Cricetulus griseus: one gene and its partners. The protein of the gene in region 1 interacts with the protein of each later gene in a pairwise test. Links are inferred from orthologs where the notes say so. Each region holds a gene or a part of one and is shown in the gene's direction. Other genes may lie near its edges. The genes, in order: Hnrnpf, Hnrnpm and Hnrnpul1.

Region 1 (4,366 bases):
TGCTTAGGATTTGGAGGACAGCTTGGACAGGAGAGAGAGTTAGCAAATGAAATCTCTGGCTGTGAAAGTCTGATAACCTAAATTCGATCCCTGGAGCTCACATAAAGGTAAATAAAAAAACCAACACAGGAAAAGTTGCCCTCTGGCCTCCGTAAGGTTGGAAGGCACTTGCACCTGCCTCAACCAATAGTATAAACTTTAAAAATCAATAACAAACCCCGAAAGTCAGTGTGCGATGTCTTAGCAGTTAAAGGCACTTGCTGCATTAGCCTGCCAACCCGAGTTTAATCCAGGACCTCACCCATATAATTGGAGAGATAGATGCCCCAGAATTGACCTCTGACTTCCAAACCAGCAAGGTGATACATTCTGACTCCTCCACACTGAGCACACTAAGAATCTTAACTCACTGGGTGGTGGTCGAGCACTCCTTTAAACCTTTAATCCCAGCAGAGGCAGAGGGGCAGAGGGGTAGAGGGGTAGAGGGGCAGAGAGGCAAGGCCAGCCTGGTCTACAGAGCGGGTTCCATGACAGGCTTCAAAGCTACACAGAGAAATCCTGCCTCAAAAAACAAAACAAAAACAACAATAAAGAGAGAGAGAGAGAGAGAGAGAGAGAGAGAGAGAGAGAGAGAGATCCTAACGCTCTCCCTCCCCAGTACAAAGTGGTGCACAGTTTGGTAAAACTTGTGCTGAGTAACTGGACTTAATGTTCAATATACACATGAATACGTATTTAACTTTTGTAGGATTTGTTTTCTATCATTTGGCCTCTCTTTTTATTCTTGGAGACAGTTTCTCCTCTGAAAGTTAGTTTTCTCCTGTTATTTTTTTTTTTTTGAGTCAGCCTGGTGTGTTGTTTTTATGAACTTTTCCTTCATCGCTATCGTCCGCTTATAACCGGAGACTACTTTGTGAATTTCTCCATTGTTTAGACAGCGGCTGGCAACCATGCAGCCTGGACCCGCTCCCTGCAGAGATCACCAGCGCGCGTCTCCACGCCCGCCTAGGAGGCTCTGTGGTGTTGGTAATCTTAAACTCAGCCTGTATCTTGACATCTCACGAAGAAGCCTCGCAAATTATATATACATCGAAAAAATCTAACCCCTCCACTCCGGGAAGTGCTGACAGTCTGAAACTCAAAACCCTGACGCTGGGGGCTTGGAGCAACTTGGTACAAATCCCTCAAGACGGAGCCTCGGAGACGCCCTTAGGCGCTCTTTCTTTTTACGTAAGACTCGACGCTAGTTTTCCGCTCGCGCGCGGTTATTGAACCTTTGGGGCTCAAGTTTCCGGGTGCGGAAACGCGCGTGCACCACCCGGCGTCCTCCCACAGCCCACAAGTCGTGAGGCTCTCCATGGACCACCCTCCACCTTGCTCCCCTCTTCGCCCGCCCCCTCCCTTCCCTCCCCCCTCCCCCTCCTCCCCCTCCGCCGCTTGGCTCCCCCGAGGTGTGCGCATGCGCCGTCGCTGTCCTTTCCTGCATTCAGAGGCCGGCCCACATTCCCCGGCCCCGCCCCTCGCCTGGCTGGCCAATCCTGAGCTCGGACTTGGGCTCGTCAGAATGGCGCCGTGGCGGCCCGGTGCCCGGATGTCCGCTGCCTGAGGCTCCGCCCCGCCACGGTCTTGTATCCTTCCGGCTTCGTCGTGGAAGGAGGACTGCGCCTCGTCTTCCTGAAGGTGGGGTTCGGGGGAAGGCCGGCCCGCGGTCACGCCGGCTGTGGGAAGGGAAAGTGGGCTTCCCGGGCTACTGTTTCCGGGTGCTCGGGGCGTGGGTCGAGCGGGGAACGGGCCAGGGGCCAGGAGGGCTCCCGGAAGCGCGGCGGGCGCTCGACGGGCGGGAGTTGAGGACCAGGCCGGCCCGCGCGGCTGAGTCGCTCCGCGGAGGCCCCACCGCGAGCGCGCTTCTGGGGGTTTCCATGGTGACAGTAAACAAGCCTCAACTGCCTCAGCTACAACTGCCAAGTCCCCGGGGTTCCACCCTCCTCTAGGTGCTCTGAGGGCCGGCGAGGTTCCGGATGTGAGAGGGAGCGTGGAGACAAGGAGCCCGAGGTGAGGGTCGCCAACCGGGTGGGCTGGCGGCCGGGCCCTTGGGGCGTCGGGCCGTGGGGCTCGGCCATAGGAGAGGACCGGTCCGAGGGGGGAGCCGCACACCCGTGGCGGTGCGAGGCTGGCCGTCGGGGCTCGGGACGGCGGAGGCGAGGCGTGGGGTCGGGGTCCAGAGCCGAAGTTGAGAGTATGTCTGGCGGTCCAAGTTGGGAGCACTTCGGACCGGGCCGGCCGCGTGGCTGAGGTTTGCGGCCTGGCGGAGGGGGTCGGGGGGAAGGGGACGGACGCGGGATCCGAAGTCTGGAGTCACTCTGGTAGGCTGAGGTCCGGCCGCGGGGACCGAGGTGTGGGGCTCGCCCCCCCCCCCCCCGCATCCGAGGCCCACGCCCTGGAGAGCGGCTTCCGCCGAGGGCCATGCCCGCCGGCGCTGCTCGCACGCGGCTCGGCCGACGCGGGTTGTTTGGGGGGGGGCAGGGCGGAGCGTTTACCCCCCGCGGCGGAACACGCTCTGCCCTCCGCGGGTAGGCCCGGGCGGGCGCTGGTTGCAGTTTTGAAAAAGGAAAGCGGCCGCTCACGTGGTTGGAGGCGGCCAGAGTTTCACAAGACTGGGCGGAGGGACGACGACTCCGCCCTCCTCCCACTCCTGCCCCGAGCGAGCCGACCGCCTCTTCCTCCTCGTGGCGACCCGGGAGTCTCTCATTCCCCAGTCTGTGTGGATCCGGGCCCTTCGGAGGTAGCGTGCTGGCGTTTGCGGGTGGTGCTGGCGGTGGTGGAGGAGGAGGAGGGATCTTGACCTAGGGAGGTCGGTCGGGTGTTTGCTGCTGTTCCGTGAACTTTCTTTGGATGTGTTTGTGGATCTTTACGGTTCCGGTGAAACTTGGTGTGGGTCTTTCCGGCCTTCCTTCCCTCCCTGGCGCGCGCGCGCTCTCGGGAGCGTTCCCGACAGGGCCGGACGCTGGCCCCAGCCGCCCTGCGCGTACCCGCGAGGCAGCCCCACGTGCTCCATAACTTTGAGCGCCCGACGCGACTTTTCCTGCCCCGGAGTCCCGGGGCACAAACGAATGGGCCTCTCCTACCTGCCACAAGTGCTGGAGACCTGTGGCCTGTGACTGGGGCTCCAGAGTGGTTGGGCGAGCGCGCAGCGTGGGAGGCCGCCATGCGGCTGTGCGGGATTAGGCTCCAGTGTGTCTTTGACTGCCGGAACTTCGAAGAACCGAGAGGGCTTCTTTATAGCTTTTCTTTTTGTTTGCGGATTTGTGTGTGAGTGGGGGAGGGGGTTAGATGTAAGACGACACCTTGAGAGATGGCTCTTCCAGGAGTGTGGGTCTCGGGGATCGAACTGAGGTCATGTGCTTGGCAGCTCGAGTTCCTATCAAGTGTGGGTTTTGTTTTATTTTGCTGTTTTTTCCAGACGGCTCCTGTGTAGTCCTGGCTATCCTGGAGCTCACTTGTAGACCAGGCTGACCTCGAACTCACAGAGATGTTTTGCCTGGAGTGTTGGGATTAAAGAAGTGCGTCACCATGCCGGTCGATACCGGAGAGTTTTGAAATAATTAAAAATCATTTAATTGATCAAATCATAAGATGTCTTGTAATAGTTACTATTTTAGAGAGAAGTTTCCTTTGTGCTGCCGAGTAGAGGTCAGGGACATATGGGGCCAGGCCTTCCATATTGTGTTCAGAGATTTTTGAGCTCAGGTCCCTCCCGGCAATAAAAAACTTCTTTTCTATTTTTTTTTGTTTTTGTTTTTCAAGACAGGGTTTCTCTGTGGCTTTTGGAAGCTGTCCTGGAACTAACTCTTGTAGACCAGGCTGCTGATCTTGAACTCACAGAGATCCACCTGCCTCCCGAGTGGTGGGATTAAAGGCGTGCGCCACCAACACCCGGCTCCCGCAATAAGTCTTTACACAGTTAACGATCTCCAAGTACTTTTTAAGAGTTAATGCTTATGAATTTTTAGTAAAAATAGAAATATTTCAGGCTTTTTGGGTAGACAAAAATAGGTCAGTGAAGTAGTAGTTTTGGTGCTAATTTTTGACAATATTTTCGTTTTAAAGTGGAAGGTTTATATTTCCAGAGAAAGTTGAGAGATTGGTAATGAGGGATACTTAGTTTATTGTGTTGTATACATAGTTTTTTGTTTGTTTGGGTTTTTTTTTTTTTTGGTATTTCGAAACAGGGTTTCTCTGTGTAGCTTTTGCGGCTATCCTGGCTCTCAATCTGGAGACCAGACTGGCCTCTGCTTCCCATGTACCACCATCTCCATAGAAGTAGAAAGTTTTTATTTTTTTGGTGGTATGTCTTTTGGGTGGTGGG
Region 2 (3,315 bases), on another chromosome or scaffold:
CGCTCAGCCCAAGAAAGCCTTCAAGTCATATTCTTGTATCTATTGTGATGTCTTTACATTGAGACTTGGTTGCATCACAGATCAGTCTTCCTCTTTTTTCCTCAGCTCCCATTTGATTTTACATGGAAGATGCTAAAGGACAAATTCAACGAATGTGGTAAGTGTCTGAGAAAGGCTCTCTGTGTACATTCCTGTGTCGTGGCTTGTTGATGACGCTGTTGAGTTAGAGCAGTGAAGCTTCTTTCCTAGCCTTAACCACTGTCCATGGGCTCTAGAGCACCGATGGGCCTTGCCATTGTTCTGCCTCTGCAGGTACTCAGGCAGGTGTTGGGTGTCCAGGTATGTGTCGTGCTATGTGCTGCTTTCATCCTTGCTGTTCTTTTTTAGTTTTTTGAGACAGTCTCTCTGTCTCTGTTATAACCTAAGCTGGATTTGAGTTCATGATTCTTTTGCTACCTTCCATGTTTTGGAACGCCAGGCAAATGCCACCGTTCCTGTTTTCTGAAGTGTTTCTGAGAGGAGACAATGTTGTCGTCTCTTTACATAAGAGTTAGCAAAGCCACCTTCCTAAATAAGAGGCAAAAACAAAAGAAATAAATGAGACAAGTTGCTTTTCCACATGAAGCCCATACCTGGTTTGGTTTCCCAGAGCACTCATATGCTCAGCAGTTGTAGGTCTGGGCACACATAGTGGGGTGAAAATCACTGATTGTGGATTCATAGGCACACTAGGCAGCCTTTCTGGAAAGCTTCCTTGGTGACCGAGATGCAGTTGTCACCTGCTACCATTTCACCAAAATCTGGGTGGCTGCTCGATCAAAACACCTGTTTCGTCATTCAGAAATGGCTCACATTTTAGTGTTTTTGGTGCTTTCCCCTGGTTCTTTGAGGCAAGCTGTAGAGTGAAAACCCATCTTCTTGCCTGGTTCTTTGATTCTCTCCATTGCAAATTTCACACCAGTCACTATTGTAACTAGATATTCCAAAAACTCATATTAGAACATGCCACTCTCCCCACCTATGTGAAAATGCAAACTCAAAAGCTTCTGGAAACTTGGTTCCATCTCCCTACTGCCCTTGAACCTGTGACATTCTCTGCTTTCCTGCCAAATTACCTTCCCCTTTCCCTTCTCTTTTTCTTTTTGAGATAAGATCCAGCTAGCTCCATTTTGCTGCACATTCATTGTATAGCCAAGGATTATCTTGAACTCTTAGGGATTTTTTTGTTGTGGGTGGTGGTTTGTTTGTTGGATTTTCTTTTTTCTTTTTTTCTTTTTTTCTTTTTTTTTGAGATGGGGTCTCAGACTGGCCCTTAAACTCACTATTATATAACTGAAAATAACCTTGAACTTTTAGTCCTTTTTCTAACTCCTGAATGCTGGGATTACAGAGGTGTGCTACCATGCCTGGTTTGTAAAGTGCTGGGCTCAAACCCAGGGTTTTGTGTATGCTGGGCAAGCACTGTATCCACTGAGCTATATCCTCAGTGACACTGAACTCTTGATTTCCTATCTTCACCTCCCAAGGGCTGGGATTACAGGTGAGCCATCTTTCCATTCTCCTGTCTGTTGTCCCTCCTTTGGTTCTGTCTTGTCATTCCCTTCTTTTGAGCCTGGGTCTTGCCATGTAGCTCCAGTCTGGCCTAAAACTTGAAATCTTGCTTTAGCCTCCCAAGTGCTGGGTTGCAGATGTGTACCATTGCGTCCTGCTCTGGCAGGAATGTTTATTCTGATGAATTGCTACTTAATATCTTTCAGAATTTTATCACCAGAAGCCACTGGAGTGTCATCTCTCCCCAAGCCATTAGTAGCACAGAATTATGGGACCTGACACCACTAATGTGTCTTTGGCTCTCACTCTATTATAGACCCATTTCTTTTGTACTTGACACATACCTGGGTACTTAATAACGTGGGTGCTTAATAGGTCTATGAATGGGATATATGTAAGCTGCTCACTAAGTATACCTGGCTTACATTGGGGCAGTATAGAAGTATCATATTGGCAGTGACCTTGTGACCAGATTGTGGTATTCAACAATCAAGCCTCTAGAATTCTAATCTAAAGTTGACTCCACATAGTCCCCTCTCTGTGTCACTTGCTGGAGCATAAAGGCAAACTCTTGAAGCTGCTTGGCAGGTTCTTGACAGCAGGTCAGGCTGTTGTCCTGCTTGGAGAACAATGGCAATATAGTGGGGGGGGGCTGTAGTTGCTGGCGCCATACGTGGTGTTCTGAGCATTCACTTCATATGCAAGGGCCTCTCTCCTTTTTGACTCTGTCACCGAAATCCAACAGGTGATCTGGACTGAGTGGAGCCCAGGCTGAGGCTGAGCTCTGGGTTTGCCTGATGCGTGTGGTCTCTTCTTCCCTCCCTGTGCCAGGCCACGTGCTGTACGCCGACATCAAGATGGAGAACGGAAAGTCCAAGGGGTGCGGTGTGGTTAAATTTGAGTCTCCAGAGGTGGCTGAGAGAGCCTGCCGGATGATGAATGGCATGAAGCTGAGTGGCCGAGAGATTGATGTTCGAATCGATAGAAATGCTTAAGCAGTTGCCTTTTTTAAACATCAATACCAGACCTCTGAATTTGTATTTTTTCTTGTTAACCATTTTAATTTGTTGGCTGGATGTATAAAGATGTTTAAAAAATTCAGTTGCTTTTTGGGGTAATTTGAATTAATTTTTTAATGAGTGGGGTTCCATTTGATTGTTTGCATTGAGATTGCAATGTGCGCAATTTTTTTTGTAGTTGTGGCATCTTGTTGACATCGAATATGACTTTGATAATAAATACCAGTTGCTGAAAGTTGCTTGCTTTTTTTGCGTATGTTGTAGAGGTGGCCATCTGAGGTCTGTGGAGCTGGGGAAGCTTGTAATTCTTCCTTCCTCAGAGCTGTGACCTCCAGGGATCTCACCCTATTGTTGCTTGTCTGTGAGCCCCAGTGTTTGGAGAGCAGACCCTGGTTATAGTAGAAACACTATAGTACAGATCCTAAATCTTCATTTTTCCCAAGAGTGCTAATAGCAATCCTGAAAGTCATCCTGTGGCTATATTCTGTGAGTCCCAGACACTGAGCAAAGCTCACTTCATGTGGCTTTTCTTTGTTTAAGCCCCCTGAGAATATCACTGTATGGGACATGCTTCATACTGATGTCCTGTTGGGCAGGAACCCTACCAATGAAGGGCTGTCATAGACTCACTTGGCAATACAAATCCTTGCAGCCTACAAGGAGTTTTGGGATGCAGTTCCTGATCATCCAGGGTGTGTGTGGGTGCATCCTTAGTAGCTCCTTTCCTATTGAGCAAGCAACTGAT
Region 3 (4,251 bases), on another chromosome or scaffold:
GTTGGCTGGCTGGCAGCGGACGTTTTGCATTGTGCAAAACCGGATGGTGGTATTGCACTAAATCTTTTTTTTTTTTATGGTGGTATTGCACTAAATTTTTTTATGGTGGTATTGCACTAAATCTTTTTTTTATGGTGGTATTGCACTAAATCTTTTTTATGGTGGTATTGCACTATTTTTTTATGGTGGTATTGCACTAAATCTTTTTTATGGTGTTATTGCACTAAATCTTTTTTTTTTTTTTTCGCCTCCCGAGCTAGGGGCGACGGGCGTGCTAAGGGTTAACGCGAGGCACAGTTACGGATCCCTCGTGTTGGCGATGGTTGGCATAGGCAGGCAAGCTGCAGGGCTCGAGATGGAGAGCCCCGGACTTCTTTCTGCGGCTGCGGCGGTCGCGTGCAGGGCGGCCTGGGCGGGCGAGCGAGCAAACTCTAGAGCGGTGCGCCGTTTGCCAAGCAGCTTCTCCCCCGTGGGTTTAGCCCAACCCCCGCTTGCAACCCTTCAGCGCTCCCCAGGGCCAACTGTTTGTTTGTTTGTTTGTTCCTCGTTAAAAAAAAAAAAAACAAAAAGCAAGCGAGCCAGCAACTGGGCTTGAGTAGCAGGCGAGCAGAAGCAGCTCCCCTTAAGCCCGATCCCGCCTCTCAAACATCCCCGCAAGACGGCCAAGTTTGCAAGGCAAGCCTCTTCCAGCAGGGCCAATCCCGTTAGCTTTTCCTCAAAGCGCTCAAGCTACGGCTGCGGGGCGGGCGGGCGGAGAGGGGAGCGGAAATGTAACCGTAACTGCGATTGGTGGACAGCTTGTTTTGAAACCGCCCTAACGGCAAGGGGCGGGCCCTCCGCGAGTGGGTCTCCTTCCGGGCTTCCGAAAGGGCCACAGGAAAGACGAGGGTGGGCGGGGCCCCTCGGTCGCCGCGTTTGATTGGCCGCGGCGATCTTTTTCCCCCGCCCCCCCGCCCCGCGCGAGGGGCGGGAGCTGCGGACCAGTCAGCACGCGCTTTACGGAGAGTCCGAGAGCGGGAGAGGCTGCCGGGAGGGACGGGGCGGGGAGGCGACGCTGAGACCCCGTTGCTGATTGCTCGGGATCGTTACTCCCTTATCTGCCACCATTTGACCGTACCCGCTGCGCGCGCGCGCGCGCGGGGGTCGCGGGGCGGGGGGGGGCGCGGGGCGCCGTCCAATCAGCGCCGGCCCCGCCCCTTGCCTTTTCCCGCCCTCCGCTTGGGGCCGCGACTCCGACGTAGGCTAACGCTTCCTCTTGGGCAGAGCGCCCTGAACCCTCTCGAGTGCCGTCGCGGTGAGAGCCGCGCTGTGATTGGCGGAGCCTCCGGGGCCCGCGCCCGTTGCCCCGCACGCTGCCCAATCGACGCCCGCGTTACATCGTCGGGCTCCGGGGCCAGGGGGGGAGGAGGCGGCGGCGGCGGCCATTTTGAGCCGCCGCCGCCATTGGAGGGGCCCCCCCCGTTCCCCCTTCGCCTCCTGACGGGCGAGGTTTGAGGGGGGACAGAGCCCCGGGAGGCCGGGCCGGGCTCGGGGGCCGCCCCGGGGGCCCGGGCCATGGATGTGCGCCGTCTGAAGGTGAACGAACTTCGCGAGGAGCTGCAGCGCCGCGGCCTGGACACTCGCGGCCTCAAGGCCGAGCTTGCCGAGCGCCTGCTGGCGGCGTTGGAGGCCGAGGAGCCCGAAGAGCGGGAGCTCGACGCTGACGGCGGCGACGGCGACGACGGCGACGGCGACGGCGGCGGCCGCCACGGGGGCGACGGCGAGCCGGGGTTACCCGAGCGCCGCCACGACGACGAGGTCGACACCGAGGGGGGCTCGGAGCTGGAGGGGACCGCGCCGCCACCGCCGCCCGGGCTGCAGCCGCACCCGCACCCGCACCCGGAGCCCGGCGGCTACCCGGGGCCGGACGGACACTGTGAGAGTGCGCGGGGCCTGGGGGGGACACCGGGGGACCGGGGGGAGGGGGGGAGAACCGGGGGACGCGGGAAGTCCACTCCTCTCCATCGACACCCCGGGGGACCCCGGACACGGTCCCTGGCGGGGGAGCCCGGGACCCCCCGCCACCTGCCGCTGCGGCTGCCGAGCATCGGTGGACAGGGCCGCCAGCCCCAGGGCGAGCCAGCCCCAGGGCGAGCAGCCCCAGGGCGGATCCTGCAGGGAGGGCCTTGGGTGCAAGGGAACAACCCTGGGCCTGGGCGGGGTGGCGTGGGGTGAGGGGGGGTAGAGCCGGCGGGGTTTCTTTATTTTGTCCGATTTAGTTATTTATTTATTTATTTTGGTTTTTCCGAGACGAGGGTTTCTCTCTGTGTGGCTTTGGAGGCTGCCCTGGAACTCGCTCTCTTGTAGACCAGGCTGGCCTCGAACTCCCAGAGATCCGCCTGCCTCTGCCTCCCGAGTGTTTTTAAGAAGAAGACTAGCGAGAGGGAGGGTGGGTGGGGAGGAATGCACATCCTAGAACTGGGAGGCCGGAAACTGTTTCTCTTTCTTTTTCTTTTCCTCTTTCCCTTTTGGAGCTGGAGAGTCGGAAGGAGCTTTCAGGGAAAGGGGTGTCTCCGGGAGGGCTTTTGGAAAAATGGTGATGCTCGCTGGGGGCTTTGAGCTGACAGCTTGGGTGGCCGTGCGGGTCGTGTTCCCCCCTCCACGCACACACACCCCGTTTGGGCTGGGTCTCAAAAAGCCGGATTTCCAGGTATCAGGGAGGGCGGGGGGTGAAGAATGGTCAACGGTGCAGGGCTGAGGGAGAGTATTTGAGGCTAGAGGATCTCCGATCTTGCGGCCGGATGGGATCCGGGAGGTGTGCTTGGTGCTGTGGGTGAGTTGGTGCCGTGGAGCTGCGGGTGGCCGAGGCCGAGGGAGGTGGGCTGGGCGCTCCGATGTTTGGCAGGTGAGCTTTTAGGGGGAGATAATGGAAAACCAGCGGAAGATTGGGTTTGGCGTCCCCTCCCTTCCCCCCCAAGTCCTGCATTTCAGTTACAGGGCCAACCTTGAGGACAGGGCAGCTAGGAATATTTGGTACTGGGAGATCTTAGCTTGTGGCTTTCTAGAAGAGGCACGAGAACGTTGGTGTCTATAAACAGTGGCGAGGAAAAACAGGATGTTTTTAATGGACAAAAGAGCTAGGGACTAGTCTAGAATTGGGAAGGCTCCTAAGAAACACCGGGTGGCTCCTGCTGAATGGCCTTGTATTGTTAGCTATGGATAGTTTTCGAAACTCGGATAGCTGGAGTTGGGGAGAATAAGTTGGTAGCAAGTGGATGAACTGTGTGGTGGGCAGAGGACCTTTGTGTCCCACAGGGAGTCTGCAGCTAGCAGATGTGGGGGAGGGACGCGTGGAGGATTTGGAGAAGAAAGGAAACCTGTTGATTTGGCTGGAGGCCTCAGGGAGTATTCCTTTCCGAGAGAGGGCTCCTGAGTCCCCAGAAATAGTTACTTGTGTGCTCAAGGGGCCTGGGGGAGTTTGATCAACCAGGAAGTGTGTCTGTAAGATAGGATTGGAGGGGAACTGCAGTCCCTTGAGTAAAGGAGACCCTGGTATGAGAGGGAACCTGGAACGAAACACCTTGGCATCCGAGGCTTGGAGTATTTCTCTGAGAAGAAGACACTGCGGGACTTGGGATGAAACACTGAGAGAGAAAATGGGCCCTTGAGAGAGACTAGTACTCACTTGTTCCTGAGAGGTGGGATCCTATGGAGGAGACACCCTGGGGAAAGAAGAGTGGTCTAGGGCTAACACATGTGTGGCAAGTGGTCAGCTCCCTGGGAAGAAGGGGGGAGTGGCTTGTGAATGTGCCCAGAGCTGGGGAACCCTGCAAGAATGGCTTATGAAGGAGCAGCCAGTGTGCAGCCCTAACCTTGCTTCTGCCAGAAGGGTCTTGGGAAAATGAGTTGATGCTTCAGAGCACAAACTGTAGACTCAGGCAGACTTTTGGAGTTAAGCAAATCATTTCCCCTCTGAGCCTGGGTCTCCCTATATATGGGACTGGTAAGAGTCCTCCCTGAGTTGTCATGAGATGGTATGTGAGAGGGTTCCCCACACCAGGGTTGCCTGTTGTTGGGGGGATGTTGTAGAGAGTGGGAAAGGACCCCAGCATCATAGCTTCCCTAGGCCAGCCTGCCACTGTTGGGGGAAAGAACACGGGCTTTCTGGGGAGAATACTGTCCTAAGGCTCTGGAGGAAGCATAATGGTTTGAAGAAACCTTGTGTTCCAATTAAGGAGATACTGCGTCCCCTGTCATGTCATGCCCCCCACC

Evidence for each region.
Region 2: the proteins of Hnrnpf (region 1) and Hnrnpm interact in binary tests that used the Homo sapiens proteins (3 or more experiments, as listed by UniProt). The two-hybrid records come from large-scale screens. The link is inferred for Cricetulus griseus from reciprocal best matches to the Homo sapiens genes HNRNPF and HNRNPM.
Region 3: the proteins of Hnrnpf (region 1) and Hnrnpul1 interact in a two-hybrid assay, tested with the Homo sapiens proteins (3 studies listed by BioGRID and IntAct). The link is inferred for Cricetulus griseus from reciprocal best matches to the Homo sapiens genes HNRNPF and HNRNPUL1.

Annotation. Positions count from the first base shown.
Region 1 is NC_048601.1:27,021,459-27,025,824, reverse strand, and holds the start of Hnrnpf (heterogeneous nuclear ribonucleoprotein F), read left to right. Parts: upstream 1-1,531; 5' UTR 1,532-1,680; intron 1,681-1,913; exon of another isoform or gene 1,914-2,052; intron 2,053-2,649; exon of another isoform or gene 2,650-2,782; intron 2,783-4,366.
Region 2 is NC_048598.1:95,317,842-95,321,156, forward strand, and holds the end of Hnrnpm (heterogeneous nuclear ribonucleoprotein M), read left to right. Parts: intron 1-105; coding exon 106-157; intron 158-2,296; coding exon of another isoform or gene 2,297-2,310; exon of another isoform or gene 2,311-2,382; coding exon 2,383-2,546; 3' UTR 2,547-2,805; downstream 2,806-3,315. UniProt on the Homo sapiens protein: Pre-mRNA binding protein in vivo, binds avidly to poly(G) and poly(U) RNA homopolymers in vitro. Involved in splicing.
Region 3 is NC_048602.1:9,365,288-9,369,538, forward strand, and holds the start of Hnrnpul1 (heterogeneous nuclear ribonucleoprotein U-like protein 1), read left to right. Parts: upstream 1-1,418; 5' UTR 1,419-1,554; coding exon 1,555-1,921; intron 1,922-4,251.